Struthio camelus: one gene and its partners. The protein of the gene in region 1 purifies or fractionates together with the protein of each later gene. This does not show direct contact. Links are inferred from orthologs where the notes say so. Each region holds a gene or a part of one and is shown on either strand. Other genes may lie near its edges.

Evidence for each region.
Region 2: the proteins of TMEM43 (region 1) and ENDOD1 purify together in Homo sapiens (affinity purification with mass spectrometry; 3 studies listed by BioGRID and IntAct, with this or other methods). This does not show direct contact. The link is inferred for Struthio camelus from reciprocal best matches to the Homo sapiens genes TMEM43 and ENDOD1.
Region 3: the proteins of TMEM43 (region 1) and SAAL1 purify together in Homo sapiens (affinity purification with mass spectrometry; 3 studies listed by BioGRID and IntAct, with this or other methods). This does not show direct contact. The link is inferred for Struthio camelus from reciprocal best matches to the Homo sapiens genes TMEM43 and SAAL1.

What each region holds. Positions count from the first base shown.
Region 1 is NC_090955.1:9,007,797-9,011,542, forward strand, and holds the start of TMEM43 (transmembrane protein 43), read left to right. Parts: upstream 1-1,307; 5' UTR 1,308-1,413; coding exon 1,414-1,425; intron 1,426-2,139; coding exon 2,140-2,289; intron 2,290-3,575; coding exon 3,576-3,710; intron 3,711-3,746. Other genes in the region: CHCHD4 (mitochondrial intermembrane space import and assembly protein 40), read right to left, coding at 1,008-1,029. UniProt on the Homo sapiens protein: May have an important role in maintaining nuclear envelope structure by organizing protein complexes at the inner nuclear membrane. Required for retaining emerin at the inner nuclear membrane.
Region 2 is NC_090942.1:211,866,905-211,870,650, reverse strand, and holds the start of ENDOD1 (endonuclease domain-containing 1 protein), read left to right. Parts: upstream 1-875; 5' UTR 876-969; coding exon 970-1,539; intron 1,540-3,746. UniProt on the Homo sapiens protein: May act as a DNase and a RNase. Plays a role in the modulation of innate immune signaling through the cGAS-STING pathway by interacting with RNF26.
Region 3 is NC_090946.1:19,858,028-19,861,773, forward strand, and holds the start of SAAL1 (protein SAAL1), read left to right. Parts: upstream 1-1,029; 5' UTR 1,030-1,123; coding exon 1,124-1,240; intron 1,241-1,390; coding exon 1,391-1,495; intron 1,496-2,889; coding exon 2,890-2,973; intron 2,974-3,720; coding exon 3,721-3,746. Other genes in the region: serum amyloid A protein, read left to right, coding at 91-229, 700-841. UniProt on the Homo sapiens protein: Plays a role in promoting the proliferation of synovial fibroblasts in response to pro-inflammatory stimuli.

The DNA of each region.
Region 1 (3,746 bases):
GGGGGAAGGTTTTTTTTGGTCAACTGTGTATTGTACTCCAGCAGACTTTACAACGCAGAATATTCAGTGATTTCTTAAATAAAAGGAACTAGAAAGATATAAACTCTAACCCCGTCACTATAATTGTTGTAATTTTGTAGAATACTATAAGAGAACTTACAGAGGGTCCTTGCAAAGGCCCAAGATGTTATTAAAATAAACAGTAAAACAAAACAAAGAGTGGCACAGGTTATAATTACTTTACAACCATACATGGTCAGCATTCAGTGTGTCAAAGTTTGCCATTTCAAAATGGCATTTCGAACTAGAGAACGGATTTTACCAGTTTGAAATTTTACATTTAGTCATTTGACATTAGTCAAAGGAGAACCCCCCCCCCCCTCAGGGCATCAGCTGGCCAAGCCTAATAAATAACATGACCCGTGCAACACAACACCTTGCACAGGCACAAAAGCATCAAGCCTCACACACCACGCTGCTCATCTACTGGGCTTTTTAATAAGGCAGCAAACTCCGGCTATTAAAGCTTGCAGAAGGTTAACCTCTGCTGGAAGCCACCGCTCCCCAGGGGAGCGCGCACGCCTCCGCCGCCTCACGGCCGCGCCCCGCGAGCTAAGAGCGGGGCCCGAGGCGCGCACACGCTCTGCTCCGGCCGCCGCCAACCGCCGCCTGCGGGGCGGCCTTTTCCCAACGCGCCCGCGGCCCCGCTCCGCCTCACCCCGCGGGGCCCCCAGCGGCCGCGCTGCCCCGCGGCCACCGCCCGCCGTGAGGAGAAAGGTCGGCGGAAGGCGGGCAGGGCCGGGCCAACGCCACACACAGCCCCCGGGCGGCTTTCTCGCCTCCTGCCGCCTCAGGCTGCGCCCTTCCCTCACGGGCAGCGGCGGGCGGCTGCGCGTTGCCCCATCACAGGCCCCCTCCCCTTGCCGCTGCTGCCGCCGCCTCAGGGCGAACCCGCCCGGCCTGACCCCGGCGGTGACATTGGGAGGACGCCCCGGCGCGGCCCGCACCTTCTTGCCTGCAGTACGACATGGCGGTGCGGGGCGGTGCGGTAGCTTCCCTCTCGGCGCGCGCGCAGACTGACCCCGCCGGCGTCCCGTTCCCGCTACCACCACAGCAACGGGCAGCGGCGCGCGGCTCCACGCTGTGACCTCCCGCCTCCGGAAGCGCCTTCCCTGCCCTCCGGCGGCCGCGGGCGCCCCTCCTCCCGAGCGCCGAGGCGGGAAGGGAACGAGCGGGTTCTGACTACGTATCCCGGCCTGCCGCGCGCCAGCCGGGAGGACTCTGTTTCCCAGCGTGCCCTGCGGCGTTTGGGAACTACGTGTCCCAGCAGACCCTGCGGCGGCGGCGCGGCGGCGGGCGGCGCTTTTCTGCCGCTTCTCTGAGGCGGGACCCGGCGAGGGGAAGACGAAGAAGATGTCGAGGAACGTGAGTGAGCGCTGATGGGTGGCGGTTTCCCCCGGGGGACCCGGCCGCGGAGAGGGGCCTGGGGCCGGCGGTGGGGCTGGTGCGAAGCCGCCGGGGGCTTCCCCGAGCGAGGCCTGTGGGCCTCCCCGCCGCCCTGAGCTGCGTGTGCTGCTCCCCAGTTGCTTCTCGGTTATTGCCCCTTTCCAAAATACACGCGTATAGAAACCCATGCGCTTTAACGCAGCACCCTCTAGGACAGGAACAACACTTTTGTGTTAAGCTAGCTCTCCTTTTGTGGCCCGAGGTGCAGTTATTCTAAAGGCGGTAGGCTCTTATCCTCTGGTGAGGTAAAACGTAGCTTGTTATTTATAGCGGTGTTGTAGCTGCTCTGGAATTCAGGAGTATTGCTCATTTTTTTCCTGGCCTGGCTGTGGGGCGTGTATGCAACAGAGAAGTCCGAGGGACAGGCTGAAGGAAGCTTTAACAAATGTTGGGCCAGTATATTAGCAATTTTTTTTTCTACCAAGCTTATTTAGTTCTATCGACTTTATTTATTGACTGTATTTCCACTATCGAAAGTATGACGAGACAGTTGCAAGTGAGGAAAAGCTTATGTCCGAGGAGAGAGGGGCTGTGCTGCGGAGTAGCAGTTTTAACAAAGCTGAAAGACTTATTTTGAAACAGAACGCCTTGCCCTTTTGTAGCAATACTGCATTTTTGGTTTGCCTCCAACAGTTCTCTGACACAGGCAGCAAAAAAGAACATGTCAAAATCACAAGCGAGTCCAAACCAGGGTTCCTGGAGAGGCTCAGCGAAACTTCTGGGGGCATGTTGATGGGACTTGTGACATTTCTTCTGTCTTTCTACCTTCTTTTTACCAATGAGGTAAGTGAAACACTGTTAATGTTTACGTTACTTTATAACATCGCAGCTGACGTGACATTCAACTAGTTTTGTATTTACAGGCTTACTATAATGATTGTGTTCAAACCTTATTACTTCACCCAGGAGAAAAAAATAATGTGTTTGGAGAGTCTGTTGCTTGTACTGGGGATATAATGGAAGAATGGGGATCTCGGAGCCACAGATAGAGATTTTTCTATAGAGTGTGGTGGAGACGGTGGCTGTCTACAGTAAGAGAGATAAGATTCAAAAGCTTTGAGGGGAAACAGGCTATAGGCAGTATTATTGGAAGAGGCTGGTATGAGCAGCAGCTTACATAGAATATATTTCTGTGTGCTAGTGCTCAGTCTCAAAAACTAAAATTAGAGGGGAAAAAAAAACAAAACAATATTATTTACTCCAAGCAAGTAACCAGCCACATTACATTCTCTGTTTCTTGGAATAATGTAGGATCTTCATTTCCAGTATCATTATAGTTGTGTTGAAGGAATTAATACTCCACCTTGCAAAGCTGAGCATGTTAATTATTCTTGGTGTTATTTTTTGTCTTGGTTTCAGATTGAAAAATAGTTAAAGTATGCAAGTTAATCTTAAGACATGACCCTTGCAAACGCATGCTTTATATTTTCCGTCCTGAGAACTTCCACTGCAGTCAATGGAAGTCCTGGTGGTGGTAGAGATGAGCTTGATATAGGTGTTTGAAGGATCACAGCTGTTGGGGGGGTGTCTCAGAGTGTGGATATTTGGCAGTTTTGGAGGGCAGGAGCAAAATTCTGTGAATTTTCACCTATGACTTTCTTCCATACTTCTGCAAGAGAAGAAAGAACTACTCCAAAGTTAAGTGATTTTGCAGGGAAAAGCACACTGTAACATGATGGCAAGGCAAGGAGAACTTCTGCCCCAGTAGTCAAACGACTGAGAAGACGACTCCTAACTGGTGTAATCATTGCGCTTACTCGAGAATAATGAACAAGGCAAAAGGTGAAGAGCAATGACTTTAGAGCCTTGTGGGAACGGTCTGTGTTTGGGTTAGTAGCTTAGATGACTTCAATGGGCCTGCTGCACGGATAAGAAGTACTGCCCCAAACTTCTTCAGACACAAAGAAAGAGAAGGTTAAGAATTACAAAAGCATCTCAGGAAAACTCCTTGCGGCTAAATGTACAAGCCCTCTGTAGGGTCTGCAGATTACTTGTATGCTAGCATTTTTCACAAAATGATGCTGTACAATTGATCTTCCACAACTTGATTTTGTTTTTCTTGACTGCAGGGACGAGCTTTGAGGACAGCCAAATCTCTTGATGAGGGACTTTCTCTTGTGGTCCCTCTTGATAGTATCCACGCTGTCTCTCAACAGAATGAGGGAAGACTAGTGCACTTAGCTGGTGCTCTGAGCACGTCAAAGGTAAATAAAACTAGCATCTTGAAGACAAGAGAGCTT
Region 2 (3,746 bases), on another chromosome or scaffold:
GCAGTCATTTGAACTGCCCTCTGTCCTGTCCTGTTTCTTCATTTGCAGTATAGGCTACTCCTTCACTAGTTTGCGGAGCGCTTGTGGGTTTGTAGCACTTAGAGGTTCTTCCTTGGAAATCAGGGTAACAGTATAAAACAGCATTGTCTGAAAGAGACCTGCACGTTATTGGCACCTAGGATTTTTTAAGGTGGTGGGGAGGAAGTTGTTGGCAGTACATCTGATCATATCTAACTTCCTGGATGGGAAATTGCATGTTTTCTTGTCTCTGAGGAAGAGCTCTGTAGTCTCCTCCTCCCCGACCCCACTGTTCTGAAAACATTGATTCTCCCAGTCACTGAAGCAGCCTTTTATCCGGAAGTAGCCTAGGTGTCATAGGCAGCTATTCACTGGGCAGATAATACCTCTGTTGAGCATAACCGAAGAGGAGTGGTTTCATTCCCTTTAGGTAGATTTTTTTGGAGGGTCTGTGTCTTTCTGCCTCTTATTAGTATCTTCTGAGGGTGGTTCTGCCAAGGTGAGGTGATACTGCTCTACAGGAGGATTTTGGATGCCTTGCACAGCTCCAAGAGAGATGGGAGGAGAATGCTTTCCCCAGGCTCCTTTGCAGCATGTGGCTGGCAGGAATGGTGGTAATAGATACCCTAAAAAAGGGGCAAAGTGGACTCTCAGCAGTGGCAATATCCTGCCACCTCTCTCTCCCTCTTTCTCCCTCTCTCTTGGCCAGGCTTGTGGCTGGAGAGGGCAGCTAATCTTCTTCTGGGTGGTGGATCTGACTTTGCAGCATCCCCCTGGCAGCCCTGGGAAGACTTCTGGCTGTGTCAGCCAAAATTCCTCCTGGGGACTTTGCTGCAATGCAGCACACCACACCCCTGCCAGCGCTGGGCTCAAGCCTGGAGGGGTTGATGCTGTTCAGCTATAGACCTGCACTGCTATGGAGTTCCCACCTCCTCTTCCAAATTAGCCCCGATGATTTCAGATTGCTTGGCATTATCTCCCTGGGGCAGTTGGTGTCTGCAGCGTGTGTCAGCGCAGCCTTGCGCACATTTGGTTTCACAATGTGCTGCCTGCAGAAAGCGCTCGCTCCCTGAAGGGAACGGCTGTGGTTTCATATTTCATTTCCCTTGTACACTACACCCGAATTCCAGACGCTTGCTGGCTTTACTGCTGCATGGGCTCAGAGCACAGGTCTTTTGCCGAATCCAGCAGACAGATAGGGCTTCCCTCAGCTCAAGGGAGTGGACCATGAAGACGTCAATTTTATTTCTGCTTTGCCTCTCAGTTTTCCCAGGCTTTTCCCAGGGCAGAGTTGTTGGAGAGGATGAAAGTGGTTTTGCTGAATGTAATGTGTTCTTCTCTGGACAAGTCCCACCAGAAGGATTTACCGAGCCGTTCCATGTGAAAATCTGTCAGCAGTACAACAAAGAGCCACGATTTGCAACACTCTACAGTACTAAGGACAAAATCCCTCTTTATTCAGCTTTTAAGTATACAAAACCAGCGCAAAATGAAGAGGAGGAGTGGCTGGTTGAACCGCAGGTAAGTCAACCTTTCCTTCACTGTAAAGCAGATGTTCCTTGAGAACATTTCCTCTGAGGTGAAGATATTAGCTGGGGATGGGATCTTGCAAAGGAGTCAAGAGCTTGTGGAACCTCTTTTGATATGAATTTACTGCAGCCAGCTTATTCTGGTGCTTGGAAGTGAACAAATAGTTCCTTATCCCACGGAGCTTGTACTGAAAAATAAGAGGCTGCTGCATGGGCTGTGGAATGTGAGGGGAAAAGAAAATCGTCTTTTACCCGGTAGGATCTGTTTGTCTCGTTTAGCTAGCTACCTCAATTAGGGAGCACTGCTGGTGGATAATAGGGTTAAACATTTCAGTGTCAGGCTGAAGGCTGCTCGGTTGCCAGCATGATCCTAGTGTTGATAAGGGCTCTTTAGCTTCACTGGACAGGAATAAAACATGCATTTGTGGCTCACCAAGTTGACACAGCAGCTTTTTGTTGTGTTCCTCTGTTGCAGATACTGGATAGAGAAGTGGATTACAGTGTCCTGGAGCAGAAATGTTTCAATTGAGTCAGAAGTGGGCAGTATAAAGAGAATATCACTACAGCCTCAGTGGTTTTTGCCTCCCTTGACACTTGACATGTTTAACCAGGTCCTTCAGGCTGTTATATTTAAATATATTTATATTTAAATATTTATATTTAAGTATTTTAACCCTTAAACAATTGCTTGTGCCTTAAGAGAACGAGCACACTTTACTTGACTTTTTTTGCAATATTGCAGTTATTTCAGCAGTGAGCATGGGCAGTATTGTAGCAAACACCAAGCTCACCTTGTCTGTTCAGCTCAAGAAAGACTGGCAGTTTCTGAGGGTGCTCTGTAAGGACCAGAAGCAGTCGTGGTATTCGAGTAGCATGTTGCCAGCAGGGCCCTCGTGTGCTAGGTGCTGTACATACCCAGAATCAAAGCTCATCCTTGTCCCAAAAGGGTGGCTGCTGTTCATTTTCCTTCTAGGATGCTGAGATATTAAGGCATTAAACACTTCCCACAAGGTGGCAGGAAGTGAAGGCAGGGTTCTGAAACCCTGATTTTGACCTTGGACCATCTCCCTGCTCTCAGTGCTGGGTTTTTAATTGCAGGAGTTCCTGGGAGCCTTTTGAACTTCTTTTCTTCCACTCCGCAGATGCCCGTAGGAGGTGTCTGCTTGCTCTCTTTAAACAGAGGGAAGGGTTTTTGCACACTCTGCCATTATGGAGATAAGGAAGTGTGATGAATTTTTAAAGCACGGAGAAGACCTAGACGAGTAAACATCTGCTGTCTGTGCTGTGGAGGCAGCAAAGCAAAGTGGCAGAGATGAGATCCTTTCCCATTTGCCTTGGCCACTGACCGCCATTGTCACCTCTAGGCACCATAGCTCCTCCTGCCCTTGCAGTCTGACTCACCAGAGCTGCTGCAGCAGCTGTGCAGGCCCAAATGCCTTTTCTGCTCTTTGGACTCCTCAAAGTCCCTTCACAGCAGGTTCCCTGTGCAGGTCTCCAACACTTCTCTGCATCCAGTTCACTCTGTCCCTTGCCACTTCTTCGCTGACCTGGTGATTGGCCCCCCTAGCACCTGCTAACACCTGAGCCACACCTCTTACATTTCCTGCTTCAGAAATATATCTGAGCCCCCAAAATTATTGCTAGGCTCTACCCTTAGTTGCTCTGACTTTGCACTAGTGTAGCCCCAGGGGTAGCTGTGAATCTGTTCCCTGTTACACTAGGGTCTGACTTAGTCCCTACAGATCAGTGATAGTATGAAATAAACTGAGAGTTTTGAGGATTTTTCTTCCAAGGAGCAAGCTACTCCTCCCAGTACTAAACAAGACAAATCCCCTGAATTATTTTACCTCCTTCTCACTCTTGCTTGCTTGTTTTGTTCTTTTTCAACTCAAAAACATCCTTTAAGTGACAATATTGTTCTTATTTGAAAGGATACACCACATCCACACACGTGATTAAGATAGACAAGATACTGAGCTTCCCTCAGGACCAGAGAGCTTTGGGCAAAAATGCTTTACCTGTGGAAATGCTTCCTAAGCAAGACTTAGCCTTTGGCCACAAGGAAAGATCCCAGTACGGCCAGCTTAGAGAAAGCTGCGCTGGGGATGGGGGGGCATCTTTACTGAGCCATAACACTGCAAGCACCTGTATCACGTCAGGTGGCATCACTAGGGAAACAAGGAGGGCCGAGCAAAGATC
Region 3 (3,746 bases), on another chromosome or scaffold:
CCAGCAGTAATCCATGAGCCCCTGGCTGAAATGGTACTCGTTGCTGGGGAAGACTCTTTAAAGTTAACATAATCTCTCTGCTTTATTCAGGGGCATGGGATATGTACAGAGCATACCGAGACATGCGTGAGGCAAATTATAAAGGTGCTGACAAATACTTCCATGCTCGTGGGAATTACGATGCTGCCCAAAGAGGCCCTGGCGGTGCTTGGGCTGCCACAGTGATCAGGTAATGGAGCGTGCGTGGCTTGTGAACAGCGACTTACTGGGGGGCTGGGCATGTTAGTTAGCGTGGAGCCCTTGCTGACTTGTACTCAGCTTTTGACCTAGAAAGAGTGGAGGCAAGGAAGCGCTCGACCTCCGAACAGCTTGTCTCCTTAAGGAAAGGAGCCTCTCCTCTTGCAGGGGAATTAGGGTTTTCTTGTTCTCCGAAGCGGGCAGCTTTCCTACCCCCTGTGTTTCTGGTGCTACGGGACTCTTTTTTTTTTCCCCTTGCTGATTCGTTTCCTAACAAATTTGTGGCTGTTACGGTAGTCCTCAGATAAGGACTCGGCATACGTTTGCTTCTCTCTCGCATTGAGAAGTCCTGCGGAAAAGCTAACCTGAGGCGAGCGAGGAAACCAACGCAAAGCGATAGCGTGACAGGGGAGTTACGGTTGCTTCAAGTGGTCCTTTTTTTTCCCCCTCCCCCCTTGCCAGCAACGCCCGGGAGAAGTGGCAGAGCCAGGTGAGCGGCCGCGGCGCCGAAGACACGCGTGCTGACCAAGAGGCCAACGCCTGGGGCAGGAGCGGCAGGGACCCCAACCACTACCGGCCGGCCGGCCTCCCCTCCAAATACTAACGGGGTCCCTCTCTCCCTTTACCCCGTGCTCCGCATAGCCTGAATAAAGACATGTCCCCGCTTTACCTCGACTCGCCCCTGTCGCACTCGCGGTTCCGCTTGAACGGGCGGCGCGGACCGGTTCAGATCGGCTGGGGAAGGGCGGGGGGGGGGGTGGGAGGGGCACGGCGCGGCGCCGCCCCGCGCCGCCAGGGGGCGCTGCGCTACGCGGCGCCGCTCTGGCGCCGCTCTCTCGCCGCCTCGTTGGCGGCCCGGCGGCGGCGGCGGCGGCGGCGGGGCGCCATGGACCGCAACCCCTCGCCGCCCTCCAGCGAGGCGGAGGAGGACGAGGGCGACGCGGTGGGCGGCACGGTCTACAGCAAGCACTGGCTCTTCAGCATCCTCACGCGCCTCATCGAGGTGCGGCGGGGCCGGGGTGGGGCGGGGGGGCGCCCCCGGGGCGGGGCTGCGGCGCGCTCGCTGTGACCAGCGGCCGCAACGGTCGCAACGGCCGCTGGGGTCCGCGGCGCAGCTCACGGCCGCCGCCTTGCCTTGCCCCTGTCCGCGCAGGTCATTAGCCCTGAGCAAGGGGAGCCCGGCGAGGGCGAGCGGACGGAGCTGGACGAGGAGATGGAGAACGACATCTGCAAAGTGTGGGACATGTCGATGGACGAGGTAGGAGGGGGCCCCGCCGGGACGGAGCGCCGACGTGGTTACGGGCCGCTGCTGCTGCCGCCGCCGCCGCCTTGCCGCGGCCGAGCGCCTTCGGTCCCAGCGGCGGGGCTGGAGGAGGACGGACGGCTGCGGTAGGCAGCAGGCTGAGCGCTGAGCGCCCGCCCTCGGCTCTCCGGTTCAGCCGGCGTTGCCTTTTCCGCTTTGCGGAGCGGAGAAGGTCTGGTGAGCGAGCGGGGAGCAGACCCCTCGCGAAGGACCCCTTTCCGAGGCTGAGCAAGCGCCTGGTGAGCGCTCTTAAGCCAAGCACCCGTTGGCAAAAGAAGGCCTTTTCTTGCTTCCCAGCTGCTGGGCGCCATGCTGATGTTTGAGGGTGCAAAGCAGGGTTGCATGTGAACGTAAAAGAAAAAAACACGATGTGCCAGACCTTCCCCTCCAGGTGTCTCGGGGTTTGTGCAGGGCTAGTGCTTAGGATCAGCTGGCCTAAGTGAGACCGTAGTCAGGACTGGTTTCTTGTATGACGTTCAGGAGTTGAACAGGAGCCTTGAGTCGTTAGGACACCATACCTTAGCTGTATGTGGTAATTGGCTGCAATTACTTCAGGTGCATAGCTTTTATTTTCAGCAACTTGGCTATAGCGATAATATTGATTCTGTTTCTAAAATGGTATATTTCTCTCTAGCCATCATAACGCATCATAGTAAAAAACGTAGTTGTCTCTGACAGATAAACGGCAGCTGTAGATTCATAGAGGCAATTTAATGTAACTTTTTGGATTTTTTTCTGAACGTTCTCAAATACTAGAACCAAGTAAGACTTTTTTTTAATCCAGCTTCTTTTCTCAAGTAAGAGATTTTTTTTCACGTTCTCTCTTTAGACATTTTTGAATAAACATGGAAGATATGTCCTTCACTCCTAAACAGAGAACTAATCTCGTGGTTTTATGAGGTGAAACAAGGAGGAGATTTCTAAGACTTTCCTCCTTTGTATGCTCTGAGCAAGTGCTAATGGTAATCCCATCCTTTTTCTTTTTATGTGCCTGGATTATGTCATGGTCCAAGAAAACAGCATTTCCTGAATTCTGTGTCTGACCCTCCGTGAGATAGAAAGCAAAAGAAACTGAATGTGACTGTTCTGTTTGGCTCCTTGTACAACATACCGCCAGCATCTTTACTCTTAGGGGCTTGTTGAGCTTCTGTTATTGAAGAGTGAGGATGGTAGTATAGCGTGTTATTGCCAGTAATTGTTGGCAAATACTTGATGTTTTGTAATGAGTTCAACATCTATGTTGAACTGTGGACTGATCTATGTGATCCAGTCCTTGTTCTGTGAGAAAAGGTTTGACTTGTGTTCGGAAATTATCAGTCAATTTGCTTCTCCATTTGCTTTTTCCACAGGATGTTGCTTTATTTCTTCAAGAGTTCAACGCCCCAGATATATTCATGGGAGTTTTTGCCAAGTCAAAATGTCCTCGCCTTACTGTAAGTACGGGCTGTCACAAAGCTATCCCATGTTAATAGCAACAGTAGATAGCGCTGTACATGCATTCATAAAATATCGCCCTCCTCTTCCCATTGCATTTTTGAATGAGTAAGGGAGGAAACAGAACACACAAAATCCAAATTTAATTTTTTTTTTTTTTGCACGGTGTATCTAACATGGTCTAATCAATAATTATTTCAGTAATGCTGAAGTTGATATATGTCACTATTGATAAAGGTTTAAGCATTCTAAACCATGTATTTTTAAAAATCTCTATACTCAGAAGATGAGTTTTGCTGGAATTATATTGAGAGCCCTTTCTTTTATGAGGAAGTGAATATCTGAGAGTCTTGCATTTATATGTTGATGTTTTTGTTCTTAGGACTCTATTTTAATAGTAGGGGTGTCAAATTAGCTTCAAAACAGTGTGTGTGTGTGTGTGTGTCATATAAAAAGAGAGAGAGAATGCGAGCAAAGTTAGTTTCAAGGTACAGTCTCTTCCATGGAACACCATAACTATAACAAAAATCTGAATAGTATCTCTCATGAGTATGTTTATGTTTAGGTCAATCTGACAACATTGCTTAGAAGATCCACATCTCTGTCTTGAAGTTGATGGATTGTATGAACTCGGAAATCAAACTGGAAAGCCTCTCTGAACCTTTCTTACTTTGTATGGTGGCTGTGGAAGTAAAATTGTGAACTATGTCGCAGCAGCTTAATAACACTGTGTTTTGACTTTTCAGGAAATCTGTGTGGGAATACTGGGAAA